Linked DNA regions of Arabidopsis thaliana. The protein of the gene in region 1 interacts with the protein of each later gene in a pairwise test. Each region holds a gene or a part of one and is shown in the gene's direction. Other genes may lie near its edges.

What was found. Proteins that work in one complex are often made in the same cells at the same time.
Region 2: the proteins of SPX1 (region 1) and AT4G31430 interact in a two-hybrid assay, tested with the Arabidopsis thaliana proteins (one large-scale study listed by BioGRID).

The regions. Positions count from the first base shown.
Region 1 is NC_003076.8:6,800,002-6,805,267, forward strand, and holds SPX1 (SPX domain-containing protein 1), read left to right. Parts: upstream 1-2,280; 5' UTR 2,281-2,427; coding exon 2,428-2,697; intron 2,698-2,778; coding exon 2,779-2,905; intron 2,906-2,992; coding exon 2,993-3,366; 3' UTR 3,367-3,654; downstream 3,655-5,266. Other genes in the region: HBP5 (SOUL heme-binding family protein), read right to left, coding at 1-66, 149-217, 294-431, 511-891; AT5G20160 (Ribosomal protein L7Ae/L30e/S12e/Gadd45 family protein), read right to left, coding at 4,074-4,100, 4,200-4,331, 4,658-4,978, 5,099-5,101. UniProt on the Arabidopsis thaliana protein: Plays a positive role in plant adaptation to phosphate starvation. Inhibits PHR1 DNA-binding activity in a Pi-dependent manner.
Region 2 is NC_003075.7:15,245,443-15,253,640, forward strand, and holds AT4G31430 (flocculation protein), read left to right. Parts: upstream 1-2,934; 5' UTR 2,935-3,067; coding exon 3,068-3,338; intron 3,339-3,672; coding exon 3,673-3,725; intron 3,726-3,874; coding exon 3,875-3,963; intron 3,964-4,126; coding exon 4,127-4,233; intron 4,234-4,312; coding exon 4,313-4,404; intron 4,405-4,838; coding exon 4,839-5,009; intron 5,010-5,266; coding exon 5,267-5,456; intron 5,457-5,550; coding exon 5,551-5,615; intron 5,616-5,718; coding exon 5,719-5,773; intron 5,774-5,863; coding exon 5,864-5,942; intron 5,943-6,052; coding exon 6,053-6,132; intron 6,133-6,212; coding exon 6,213-6,351; intron 6,352-6,428; coding exon 6,429-6,762; 3' UTR 6,763-7,117; downstream 7,118-8,198. Other genes in the region: AT4G31410 (E3 ubiquitin-protein ligase, putative (DUF1644)), read left to right, coding at 1-32; AT4G31420 (Zinc finger protein 622), read right to left, coding at 545-701, 798-1,016, 1,119-1,288, 1,380-1,946, 2,217-2,321.

The DNA.
Region 1 (5,266 bases):
GTTTGCTGTTCTTTTCAGTATTTGATACTTTGGAGTTTCCAAGTCTGGCGTTTTATATATCCGTAACTGCAAAAAAAGGTAGTACTTGTAAGATATGATTAACCATTTCTAAGGGGGCTCAATTCATGCCAAATGCCAAGAAAGCAACCTGCTTAAAAACATCAACAAGACCTTCAAGAGAAAAGTAGTCATTGTTCTTGATAGAATCCCACAAGTCCTGCACAACATCTACTTGTAATAAGTAGACCATACCACAATAGATTTTGGAAGAAGGACATGGCAACCATACATACCAGATGACTACAAAATTTGTTAGTTTCAGGATTAACTTCCATGATTGATAATCCAGTGAAGACAAGTTCTGGTTTCCATGGTAAAGGTATGAACTTCATCACCATTGTCCATCTCGTAGTGATCTCATATGGACCTGTCTATATATCAGCTGCATCAGTGAACTTAAAAAAAACTAGAATTAAAGAAATCAAATGATAAACAAAAGTTAGCAAAGACCTGTTTAGCCCAGTGAAGCTGAAACTGAGGAGTGAAGATATTCTTGAGGAAAGCAATGTTGAAGAGATAGCCAGAGATGGTGTCGTGCTTAGTGATTGGGTCTCTGAACTTCACGCGCTCATCGTACGCCGTTTTATCGATTCCTTGGTCGTCGAAAAGGTGAGGAAGATCCTCGTACAAGAATCCGACGAGCTCTTCCATGTTCACTGTCGACGGTGCTGAAGCCACTTCCTTGCCCACCTCAAGACTCAAAATTGGCCGTAGACGAGTGGTTACGTTGCGTCTCGGAACAGGGAGGAAACGGGTGGTTACATGCCGCCGGCAGTCACTTCCGACGGCGGTGAGTATTGGCCGGTAAAGCTGCTGATTAACGGTAGCCATTGATCGTTGATAAAAAAGTTTTCTGCTCTATTTTATTTCTTGTGGTTGTTCGCTTTCATTTAACAATCGGTTCTTTTTTGGTACTGTCGGTTCGGTTTGGTTCTGGTTTTATTTACGAACCAAACTAAATTTGTTTCGGTTAAAATTCAGATTTTTTTTTCACTCTTTAGGCTTTTTTCATTATGGAACTTTGACTTAACGAGGCCCATTCCATTTGGGCTACTGGAGGGAACTTAACTCCAACAATGGATTACTTTGCTTGCATACATTAATTACATACGTACCCAGAAATGAGACAGAGACACGAAAGTTTCGATTATACGGCAAAGTAAATATTGTTTTAGTTTATCCGTCAAAGATTGTAAAGAATACGACGACCATGTCATAAGGATTTGGACTTTGGTTGTTTGACTAATAAACTGATAGTCTTCTTAATAAATATAAATTGACAAGTTGTAAAATCAGCAGAATTTGCTGCATATAGACAATGTCAAATGGACCGGTGGTTTATCCTAAATGTCAAAATCAGAAGCTAATAATGAGCAAATGTGAATGAATTAAGACGCGAATCGGGAAAATTCAATAAATTGTCCATTGGGGGGTGCTTTAAAGAAAGATTGAAAGATGCCGAGGTTTATACCCTTTTCCTATCAAGAATATTCCATGGAATCCAACTACTTTTGACCCATTTGCGTATTTGTTAAATCTTTTCAGAAAATCAAAAGTGGGTAAATTGTCAAACTAGTTGTAGTATTGAACTACTATTTATTGATCATGCCATCATCATGGAGAGACAGATATGATCATGAAGACCAAACGTCCACGTATTTATGTCATGACGACAATCTGAGCTGGATTTGAGGATATCTGTAACTGTAAATACTATATCCAATATTCATTTTTTTTACTTTGCAATTCGTTTTTGATTAAATCTAAAAATGCAAAAAAAATAAAAAATCACTACTACATAGTGTATCTGCATGTATAAATAGACATATATTTTTAAAAAGATGATTTAATACATACTGTACATAGTTATGAAGATATCATGAACATATATAGACAATACCAAATAAGGAAATCTAATATCGTAAAATATTTAAATATCAGATGAATACAGTACAAACTCTAAAGAAAATGAATCAAGATATTAGTACGATACCCATACGAATTTAGAAAAAAATGAATCAGATAAATGGATATAAAATCTGTAATATTATTTTTCTTTTTTTGGACAGCAAATCTGTAATAATAAGTATTGGATAAATAAATTGGCATGTGAGTTGTGATTGATATTTATGAACTGACATAGGCATGTGTTATAATCTCACCCACAGATAACCACGAAAAAGTAATAAATAAGAAAGGAATAAAAGGAAGATATTCTCCCGAAAGAAAGACAGAGAAAAAAGGATATTCTAATTAGAAACCTTAAGAATATTCTTTTTAATCCCTTTTATATCTCTAAACCTCTTCCCCCTCTCTTTCTTCTTCATTCATCATTCTCACTTAAGTTTCCCAGAAAATAAAAGAGCTATGAAGTTTGGTAAGAGTCTCAGCAATCAGATCGAGCAAACTCTTCCTGAATGGCAAGACAAGTTCTTGTCTTACAAAGAACTCAAAAAACGACTCAAACTCATCGGTTCCAAAACCGCCGATCGTCCCGTTAAACGACTCCGTTTAGATGAGTTTTCCGTCGGAATATCGAAAGAAGAGATCAATTTCATCCAATTGTTAGAAGACGAGTTGGAGAAATTCAACAATTTCTTCGTTGAGAAGGAAGAAGAATATATCATCAGACTAAAGGTAATATAAACAACATTTCGAATCCGATTCCTAAAAATGATCATCTCTTTTTCTAATGTGTCTCTGTCTGTACAAAAACAGGAATTTAGAGATAGAATTGCGAAAGCTAAGGATTCAATGGAGAAGATGATAAAAATCAGGAAGGAGATTGTTGATTTCCATGGAGAAATGGTTCTTCTTGAGAATTACAGTGCTCTTAATTACACTGGTAATTTAATTTAATTGCCTCATTAAGACTTAATCTTATTATTAGTAGTAGAACAAAACGTTGATGAATGGTTTGTTGAAACAACAGGATTGGTTAAGATACTGAAGAAGTATGACAAAAGAACTGGTGATCTCATGCGTTTACCTTTCATCCAGAAAGTTCTTCAGCAACCTTTTTACACTACTGACTTATTGTTCAAGCTTGTCAAGGAATCTGAGGCAATGCTTGATCAGATCTTCCCTGCTAACGAAACTGAGTCTGAGATTATCCAAGCAGAGTTATCAGAGCATAAGTTCATGGAGAGTCTTCATATGAAGAGCACAATCGCTGCCTTGCGGGTTTTGAAGGAGATCAGGAGTGGAAGTTCTACTGTTAGTGTGTTTTCATTGCCGCCTCTACAGTTAAATGGCTTAGATGAGACATGGAAGAAGATTCCATTGTTGGAGCAAGAAGCCAAATAGAGAGTGAGACAGAGGCACACTCGCTCTATTCCACTTTTTTATACAATAGAAGAAGCTAACAGATTAAACAAGACATTATCATCAATGTACACAAAAAGGCAGAAGAAACTATAGGATCATGTTTCTGGATATCATCTTTGGTCGGTCATAAGTCCTTAGGTTACACAAAACTGCAATGTAACTTTGTTTCTGTGTTGGGTGTGTTGTAGTTGATGTAATATATACCACTTCAGATTAATTATTGATTTCTTCTTTTCCAAAGTCATATGCTAGATATTTCAAGTTCTCTACTACTACATATACAAGTTCATAATCCTCTTCAAGAAGAAATGATGACTGCAAATGATACTAGTGACTCGATCTCAATTCAAGGTAAGACTTTGCATAATGCAACAGACCAATTGATTTCGTATTCAATCTCAATTCAAGTCCTTCAATTTTTATTTCAATTTTTTTGTTCGTTTTGTGATAGATATCAAAACAAGTTCTTATAAATAACACAATGATTCGCTACAAACCAAAACCAGAAACCAACACAAATTCTTAAGAAACCAAGTTGCAGAAAAGTGAATTACGTTACAAACTTGAAGAGAAGATAGTAGAATAATGGACGGTTTTTGATTTGGTAGTTGCCTAAACAAAACTTCAGTCAAAGCCTTCCCATTCGCGGAGACCCATCATACCGAGCAATCAATTCAGAGAATGCCTTAGATCAGAAGCTTCTCAATAGCATCCTGAAGAAATGTAAAAAAAGAGTTAATGATTAACCAATTCTGTGGAATCAATGATGGTTCAAGGTTATAAAGAGAGTACACAAGTGAGGGCTAAGTTACCTTGAGATGTTGAATCTGTGATTTCAATTGACTAGCTTCGTTAGATGTGACTGAACAAGCGATAACAGGTCTAGTCACACCACAGGCTCTTCCCAAGGCTTGCTTTGAAGGCACAAAGACATAAGGAACATTCTACAAAACATTCACAAAGAAAGTAAGAATATAGAAAACTAGTATATAAGAACAACAAAGCATTACAGAATCAAAAACATACAAGCTAAACAAAATCATAAAAGACAATCATAAAGCTGTCATTTTAAACTCCAACAAGTATGAAATCAGAGTTTAGTTAACAAAATGATATACAAAACTTGGCTGAACATTGGCACAAACTAATCAAACTATATCCTCAGCAAGTAAACTTAATTCTCTTCTATGAACTAAGGAAACAAATATCTCATTTGCTAAATAAACTGGTGTATAATAAAAGAGAAACCCAGAGAAAGAAGAAGTCAAACCTTATCCTCAGCAAGTAGGGGAAGATGAAGAAGAATCTCTAGAGGCTCAGCATCTGCAGCCATGACAACAAACTCGGAGATTCCACGATTAAGAGTCTTCGTAGCTGAAATGAACAAATTTAAATAAATCAGGAACAACTTCACAAACATTAAACTCAATAAATAAGAGAGACAAACACACATGAGTAACAAGCGGATACCTTCATTAGCACCCTTCTTGAGCTGCTTGTAGTTAGTAGCTTGTTGAACGAGGTCAAGAATTGTTATCGATAACTGAGAATCTGCAAGCGGATACGCTTTAGGGTTGACGACTTCTCCGGTCTGCAAGAAGAAACGAAAACAAAAACAAATTAAAACCCAAATCAGACAATCAAAGAGTAAGATTCCTTCGAAAACACTGCAAGATAATACCGAAAAGAAGAAAGAGGAAGAGAGAAGTACCATTTTCAGCTGCGATGTCTAGGGTTTCAGAGAGGATTAGGGTTTTAGAGGCTACGACTTTCTCAGCTTGAATATTCTGAATGATAACTTAGGCTTACGCTGTTACTTATATGCTTGTCGATTTTATACATCTTTTTAATGGGCCTGGGTGATGATATACTTCGGCCC
Region 2 (8,198 bases), on another chromosome or scaffold:
GAAGGCGTCGAACCCGCTTCTATGAAAATTAGGTATTAACCTTCTGTTTCTATGCTTTTGGTACTGTCTTCTTGTGAATCTGTAATGTTCCTTTTCGTTCTTTCTCAGTCAGCTGGAAAATGAAGCGAAGCAAATGATGCAGACCAGCCTATTTGTAGCCAGTGTTCTTGGTTTTGGACCTCTTTCTTCTTTTTCTTTTTGTTTCTACACATAAATTTTATTTTAGGTTTGTCTTGTGACATTACTCGCAGCAGTCGCAGCCTTTGTACAAAAACTAAACAAAAAGCCTTTTTGGGATATTGTAGTACCCTTTTGTCGTTGTCTCTTCTTTGTTTTACATGCATCTCTGGACAATGTAGATATTGAGAGTAAATCAGAAGTCAACGTTCGTGTATTAATTTTTAACATTTCTATTTCAGTGAACATACTCTTTTTAAAGCTTACTCTTATTACCAAGTAGCAACACAACTTGGTCAAAGACTCAAAAGTACATGAAATCATCATACAATCCAACACTTGAGAACAAGTGGCACATACACAGAAACTAATATGGGACGTTATTGGGCAAGTTTCTTATGACATTACTCTTCACTCCGATCTTGGTACGCATTGTCTCGCCTCTCTTGCTCATCTCCTTGCGCACTTTCATCCTCAAAGTCTCCTCTTTCGACGGTACTGTCTTCAGACCCAGGCTCTTGTACCTGAGAATTTACCATTTGTTGGAATAACCTTAGTTTACCTTGCCGATTATCTGATTGGATAGACTCGGATGATTAACGGGTTTGGAGAAAACAAACCTTGAAGATAAAGAGGCAATTATCTGGTTGCTGTCTTGAGAAGTTGGGCGTGGCTTCTGTCTGTAGTAACGCATGAATTCACGGGACCCGAGAGTTTTAGACGTTGTTGTGTTCTCGGACTTCTCCGTGATCAAGAGCTCAGAACCACCAACGAGTTCTACAGTATTGTCTGTTTCACCAGATACAACAATTTGCTTTCCAGCTTCATCAACATAGCTGCTCAATTCATATATTCCAAAGAAAGGTGCGGATTAAGATTTGGCATAGAACGAGGAATACAGGCGAGAACAAGAATAATCAGAGATAGAAGAGAGTTGAAACCTGCTGCTGTAGTCATAAAACTCTTCTAGCTCAGCATCTTCTTCATCATCACCATCACCATAATGCAGTTTGCAATGACTCTTTGCTTCCATATGTTTTCTTACAGCTTCTAAGCTGCTGAATGGACGGCACAGCTCATTGCAGTACAGACACATGAAGTCTCTCTTGACCTAAATGATGAGCAATGTATAAGTAAACAGGAGTAAGAATTTCAAAGCTTGACAACAACGAACACTGAATGGTAAATTGATGAGTCCAAACCTTAAGACCAAGGTAAGTGAGAAGCCCTTCAGGATCCTTGAGATACTCAATATCGGGAATAAAGAAACCATGATGCTTATGCATGTGAAGCATACAGCTCTCTAAGGTCTTATGTTTTTTGTCACACATCAAACAGCAGGTTGGATCCAGCTCATACTTATCTGCATCACCATCATCATCCATATCTTCAGCAGATCCAGACTCATTCACATTCAACTTAGACAAAGAATCAGAGGCTTCTTCAGCAGCCAATTCCTCGTCAGAATCAACCTCCACCCATTCATCTTCACTATCATCATCAATGGAACCCCTGTGTTGAACACGGCGAGGAAGTTGCCTGATAATCGCTATATCCTCCTCTCCGTTGATTGATGTCCCTTGTGAAACCCGCAAAACATGGCTACGCGACTGAAGATGCTGCTCATGAGCCTTGGAACTCCTGTAACCTTTAGCACAGATTGCACAAGTATAAAGCATAGGTGCTTCATTTGATTTATTCTTCTCCTGAGCAAGAGCAGATTGTCTAGCCTCAAACAAGGCTTCTGTAACTCCAGGAACTCCAGCCACCTAACATAAAAAATTACAGAAATACAAAGATTCAAATGCCTAGAAGTAACCAAATCTATGATTATTGAAATCCTTGTTCCTTAGTAGAATAAGCTTCAAAACAAATTTTCATATAAACTCTACGATTCCATAACCTTAACTAAACAATTTCGATAGCAAAATGGAAAAGCTGTTTCTCAGAAACTTTCATCTCATCACCGACGCAAGATTTTCCCGAGAAACAGATAGGCTTGAGTTCAAATTCGATAGAGAAAGCAGAAGAAATGAAACCTTGCGCTTGAGATTGTAGCGGTGCCAATCGGATTTGTAATGAAGGTTACGTTCTTCTTCGTCCTTGAACTCCATGTTACACGCGTTACATGTTAAACCAGGCATCTTCTCTCCTTCAATATCGATCGATTCTAGAAATGGAAACTGGAGAAGAAAAGAAAATCAGAGAAAAGATAGTTGGGAGGATAAGATTTGTTGTTGATATGTGTAGAGCAACGACGGCTCGTAAATGGATCGGCGATCGTGTTTGTCTCTAAAAAAGCGTCGATTGATGATGATTGATTGCCATCAAAATGAAAAGGAAGGCGCCCCGCCCATTTTAGATCCGATCGGGTTGGAACTGACCCGTTCCTGACCCGATACAAGAGTAGCCCATTTGGCCCATTCTTTTAGCCTTTTTGTAACACTGACACAGTTGACGAATTAAGTATTACTGTATGAGTAACCAAAAAACATTTTTCTAATATTGTTTTTAAAATAACTACTTACAACTTGATTAATTACTTCGTTTAATCATGTAACTTTTTTTTCTTCCAAATTCTAATCTCTCTATTAAATTACTGCATTTATAAGATCTAAACATCATGTGATATGTTCAAAATATGAAAAGAGAAGAATATAATACATGATTTTACTACGATTAATTTTTTTTAATCGCAATGTTTTGTTTTTGCCTAATTTTATTAGTGGAAGAAATTTTAACCGCAGGCCTGTAATTTAGGAAACTAACTATTCACCCCCAATTAAAAAAAAAAACAAGAAGACGACAAATAACGAGAAATTACCAATTTTTCCTCAACACTTTCATTATTTCCTACAACGAACTTCTCCCTCCTCCTCTCACTTTCACCATGGATTCCGTCTCCGGTTACGCCGCCGGAGCAGGTCAGCCTCGAGTCGGTGGGAAAATTGTTCGACCACGACGCACCGCTGTTGTCAGGACGCCGTGTGAGCGCCCCGTTCAGAGATCCCGAGATCCTCCTCAGCAAAACCCTAGTTGGATCTCCAGGCTCGTTTACAAACCCGCCAGCGTAATTGCTTCCGGCGCCGGAAAATTCATTTCTTCCGTCGTCTTCTCCGACTCTTCCTCATCTTCGGAGGAGGACGAGGATTCATCTTCAGGTTTGTACCATTTATTTCAGTTTAGATAGGATTAATTTGAATTTTTGGTTTATTGTCTGGTCGAATCTGAAAGCTACCGTTTCGTTTGAAATGTGAAGTTTGACTTAAAGCTTTCCCATTTTCTCTTTCCTTTAATATGTGGGACTTAAGAGCAGTTAAGCATTGTTGTACTCTATTTAGTTAGGTTACTTCTAAGCTATAAACTTCATACTAATTCTAAAGCTCTAATTTTTATTCATATAATGTAGTTCTGGGATTGAGAATACCAACCAGCTTTGTTGTGTCTTATTCTTTTAATGTATGGATTTTTATATGTTTTCTTCTTTGTTTGCAGATATTGATGGTGATGAGGATGTTGAGAAGAACAATCCCGATTTTACTGAAGAGGTACTAACCACCTTGTTCGTTTTGGTGATTGCTATGCCACTGTAGTCCTATGATAATTGTTTGAAGTAAAGTTCGTGAAGCTAACACGTTTTCAACTGAGAGTTTTTTTTATAAAAGCATAATTTCAGTTTTTGTGCTTGTGTGAATAGGACCTTCTGAGTGCCCAGCAACCAAGCATTCAACGACTCAGTTCTAAGCGTGTAATTGAGCAGCTTCTCTTGCAAGAAACATTTGCAAGGTATTTCTCTGCCTGGCTTTTTGGACATCATAAGTAGCAGCCTCCTCGACTATTCTTATTATTTACACCTCATAGCTTAAAGAATCTTTCTGAGACGTGTGTAGTTACCAAATCTAAGCTGATCTTGTATCCTGCTTATTCATTCATGTGTATGTTGTTTCAGGGAAGAGGGTGATAGGTTAATAGATATCATCAAGGCTAGGGTTGTAGATCATCCCAGCGTCCCCTCTGCTATTGAGACGAGTCATGATGACTATGGATTGACAAGCGGTATGTTACTGATGGTAGACTGTGCAAGTAGACCGGATTAGTCTATGTGATAACGTCTTCTTTTCTATTTTATTTCTAGACGTGAATGTGGGTGAAATGTCCAATACAGCTGTCATGGAAGCAAGAAAATGGTTGGAGGAGAAGAAATCAGGATCAAGTTCAAAGTATAAAGTAAGTTCTGGAAACTTGCTTCTTAACTGTTCTAATTGCTGCAGCCTGCAGGTATCAACTTTTTTGTGATATCTTGTCTCCGTGCTCTAAGCCATTATTATTATAGAAGGAGACATCTTCTGTTTGGGTAAAATGATTTGATTGTTATATGCCAATCCATGTGATCAGCAACTTAAAGCTCTCTTGCAAAAGTAGGTTGTTCAGAATTCTGCGTGTGGCCATCTGGTGACGTTAATTCTGAAATGTCCTGATTGGGAAATACCTTTTTGTCCGCTTAAAATGCAAAAGATCCATATTGTTGCTCTTCTTTTGACTATGAAGACCATTTACTTACATGATTTTGGTCAACTTCTGATAGCTTCGCTTCACAGTATTCTTTTTCCATTGTACTTTAAATGATGATCACCATCTCAGCCATTAGTTTAAATCTCCAGGCAACTGAAGATGGTGCTGGATCGCCTGTGGACGTGGCCAAGTCTTATATGCGAGCTCGTCTGCCATGGGGATCTCCAGCTGCGAATAATTTAGATTTTCGATCACCATCATCAGCAAGAGTGCAAGGGACACCCCTTCCTTATAGCGCTGGAAACTTTTCCTCATCCAAGGTTAGAATTTTAAGTTCTCCAGCAGTGCATACTTTTCTTTTGGTCAAATGTTGTTTGAAAGTCTGAAGTCGTTTCATCTTGGTTTATGAGATAAAATTCTCTGCTTAACTTCTATTGTTTATGTTAGATAACCACGAGGAATTTGTGGGACACTATTTCCAGCTATTCCTAAAGAAAAGTTGCATACCGTTATATGTATTTTCAATGGCTCTCTCAAATTTACCCTTATTCATTCTGACATTGGTTACCAAATGCAGCTGAAAAGGAAGTCCGGTTCTAATCAGTCATGGAATATTCAAGATGAAATTCGCAAAGTCAGAGCTAAAGCAACCGAGGAAATGCTTAAAAGTCCCAGTAGTGTAGCCTCTTTGGAACCTAAATACAGCCCCTATGTTTTAGCGACTGATATGCTCAAAGGAAATGCTTCGTCTTTGAATGCTGATGGAGGTGTTTTTTTTCTTTCTTTATTCACACGTGGAAGAAGTTTTTCAGTAAGACATGAGTTGAAACTGAAATTAACTCTTCTTTTCTGTTCTTTCAGCTGTACGGAATGAACAAAGCAGAGCTCTACCAAATTCAGCCATACCTACCTCTGAGCACAATCAGGTATCAAGCACTCTTTACACTATGTGTCTCTCATTACCAAGAAAAAACTTGCAGTTCCAATCTTTCTTGTTTTGGTGTCCTTGTGTGTTTTACTTGAGTGAAGACTACGGAAGCTAATCAAGCCGTCAAAGAAACAGGAGTTTTACACACTAGATCTCGTTAGTTTCTCCCTTAATCCTTAATTTGTATACACTCTCTCATCTTCGCTTTTTATACTCTGTCTCATGGATTTAATGTGTTCTGATTAGGTGGAGTTGGTTTGGAGGAGACATTTATCTCCACACAAGGAGTCAAGCCATCTGAAGATACGAATACCGCTCCTCAAAGGTTCTTTTTATTGTGCTTATCCTTCCAACACAGATTGTACCTTGTTTCTTTTTGACAGATATGTTTTTTAGTATATCAATCTTCTGAAGTTTTTCAACTGTATGCGACAGTGGAACTGCTGTAGATGACTTCAATGATCAAGATGGCGATTTTATCCAACCTACTTCTACTATCGGAAACACCACAAATGGTATACATTGGATGTTGAATTCCTTTGGTTCTGATTTTTAGTTGGGTTCTCTTAATTTACTTGCGCTCCTATTGATGCAGCTGTCTTGGCTCTTGGGGCAACTTTGGATCCTACTGGGAACTCTTGCATCCCTAAAGATGTGTTTGAAACATCAAAAGAAGCTGATGAAATAGGCGCATCACGTCATACTTCTAACGGTTTCCCATCTTCATCACCTAGGTGAAAAGCAACTCCTTTGTCTGGCTAGTTTGACATGATGACATTATTTCCTCCTAAGCAAAGCCTTACTTTTTCAGTTCACCAGCGGTTATGGAAGGTCAACCAAAACCCACACCACCAGAAGAAACCAAGGCTTCTCAGCCTATAGCTGAAATTCATGGTGATGATATGACAGTAGGGAATGGCTCAGATGGTGCAATTAATAACGAAAGCAATGACAGCCACTCAAGTGCCTCTAACAGTTCAAGCACCCATGAAGAAGAGTGGCTCCCAGGAGACCAGTCTCTACCTAACTCAAACTCAGCAAGTAGCAGCCCGGGAAATACCAAGGTCTTGGCATACAGCAGAAGAGGAAGAGGCCGAGGTAGAGGAAGAGGCAGAGGAGGTCGAGGCAAAGGACGGGCCAAATAAACTTTGTAAGATGAGCTGTACACAACAAACACAATGCAGTAGGAGAGTATTATGATGAGGTAGGATTATGTGACATCTCTTTTAGATTTGAATCCCACTCTGTTTGTGTTTGGTCTTTGGTCACTTCGTTATCTTTTTAGGTTATCTTGTAGTATTTGAGTTAGGAGGATTTGTCTTGTCGAGTTATGTGGAATTGTGTCTCTGTTGTTTCTTTCATTTGTCTGAAATCTCTAATGTTTAATGTTGTAAGTTTGAAGCTTGGTTTCGTTCCAGCTGACGAAGCTTTGTAGTTTGCAGTTTCCATATGTTGAAACTCTTTTTCTTTTGTTCGATGCCAAATTTTTAAATCTTTTTTACTTGACCAAAAAGCCAACACCTAATTTTTTTGGGGGAAATCTCAAGTACTAACACCACTCATCTTTTAACCTCGTAAAGTGTCAAGTAAACAAATTCTGACATGATCCAATATTAGATGAGATCACTCAGATCAAAACATTGTAAGATGAATATAATCAAATGGGTTCAATCTAGTGTTACACAATCTCTTACCAAAGTACAAAAGCAATAACGAGCGAAAAGAAGAAACCCAATAACCAATTTTATCAAGACAGACAGAAAGAGAGAGAGAAAAAACAAAACAGACAGAAACAAAAGTGAAGAAAAACGAACAACAAAAACCCAATAAGCAGCGATCGAAGCTAAAATAAACACAGAAGAGCGAAAGCGCTCAGACATTCAAATCTGAAAAGCCATACGAAAGAAGAAGCCACGAAGATTCAATCGAAGCAGAAGTGTATTATTAAGAAGCCGAGAAATCATTGGGTTGGTGTCGGAACTCGGAAGTTACTTGTTTTGTTCCGATTTTTCTTTTGTCTGAATTCTTTCTGGTCAAATCTTCCAACACTTGTTCTTCTGCTTACAAGCTTGGGTCCCGCTTCTCATTGCCCGCTTCCTCCTTCTTCAATTCGAATTTCATCATTCTTTAGGCAATTCGAATCTGTTGCTCTGTTCTCAAAGCTCCAATCATTTGTTCAACTCAACTGATCTCGATTTGCTCCAACTCAAATTTCGGGAATTCTCAAAGTTCTTAGCTTCCGAATTGGGCGTGAAACAAAAAATGCGGGGTTTTTCTGCTCTGATTCAGTTTCGTCTTCTTACTCGCTCGTGAACTTGGAGAAACGGTTAGTTGGATTGATTCTTCCTTCTTGATGGATTGATTTGCTAATTCCAAGCTAGGGTTTGTAATATACTCTGATTCTGAAACAGCCGAGGTTGAATTTCAAAGCTGGCTAGTAGATAATGATCTCTAGGGTTTGGGTTTTTGGGGAGATGAGATTGGAGTGGCCTGTACTAAAAAGCTTCAGCTGAGTTCTTGAAATGCTTCTGGATTTGAGTTTGAGAATAAATACGTTGATGAGTTGGGTTTGTTTGTGTGA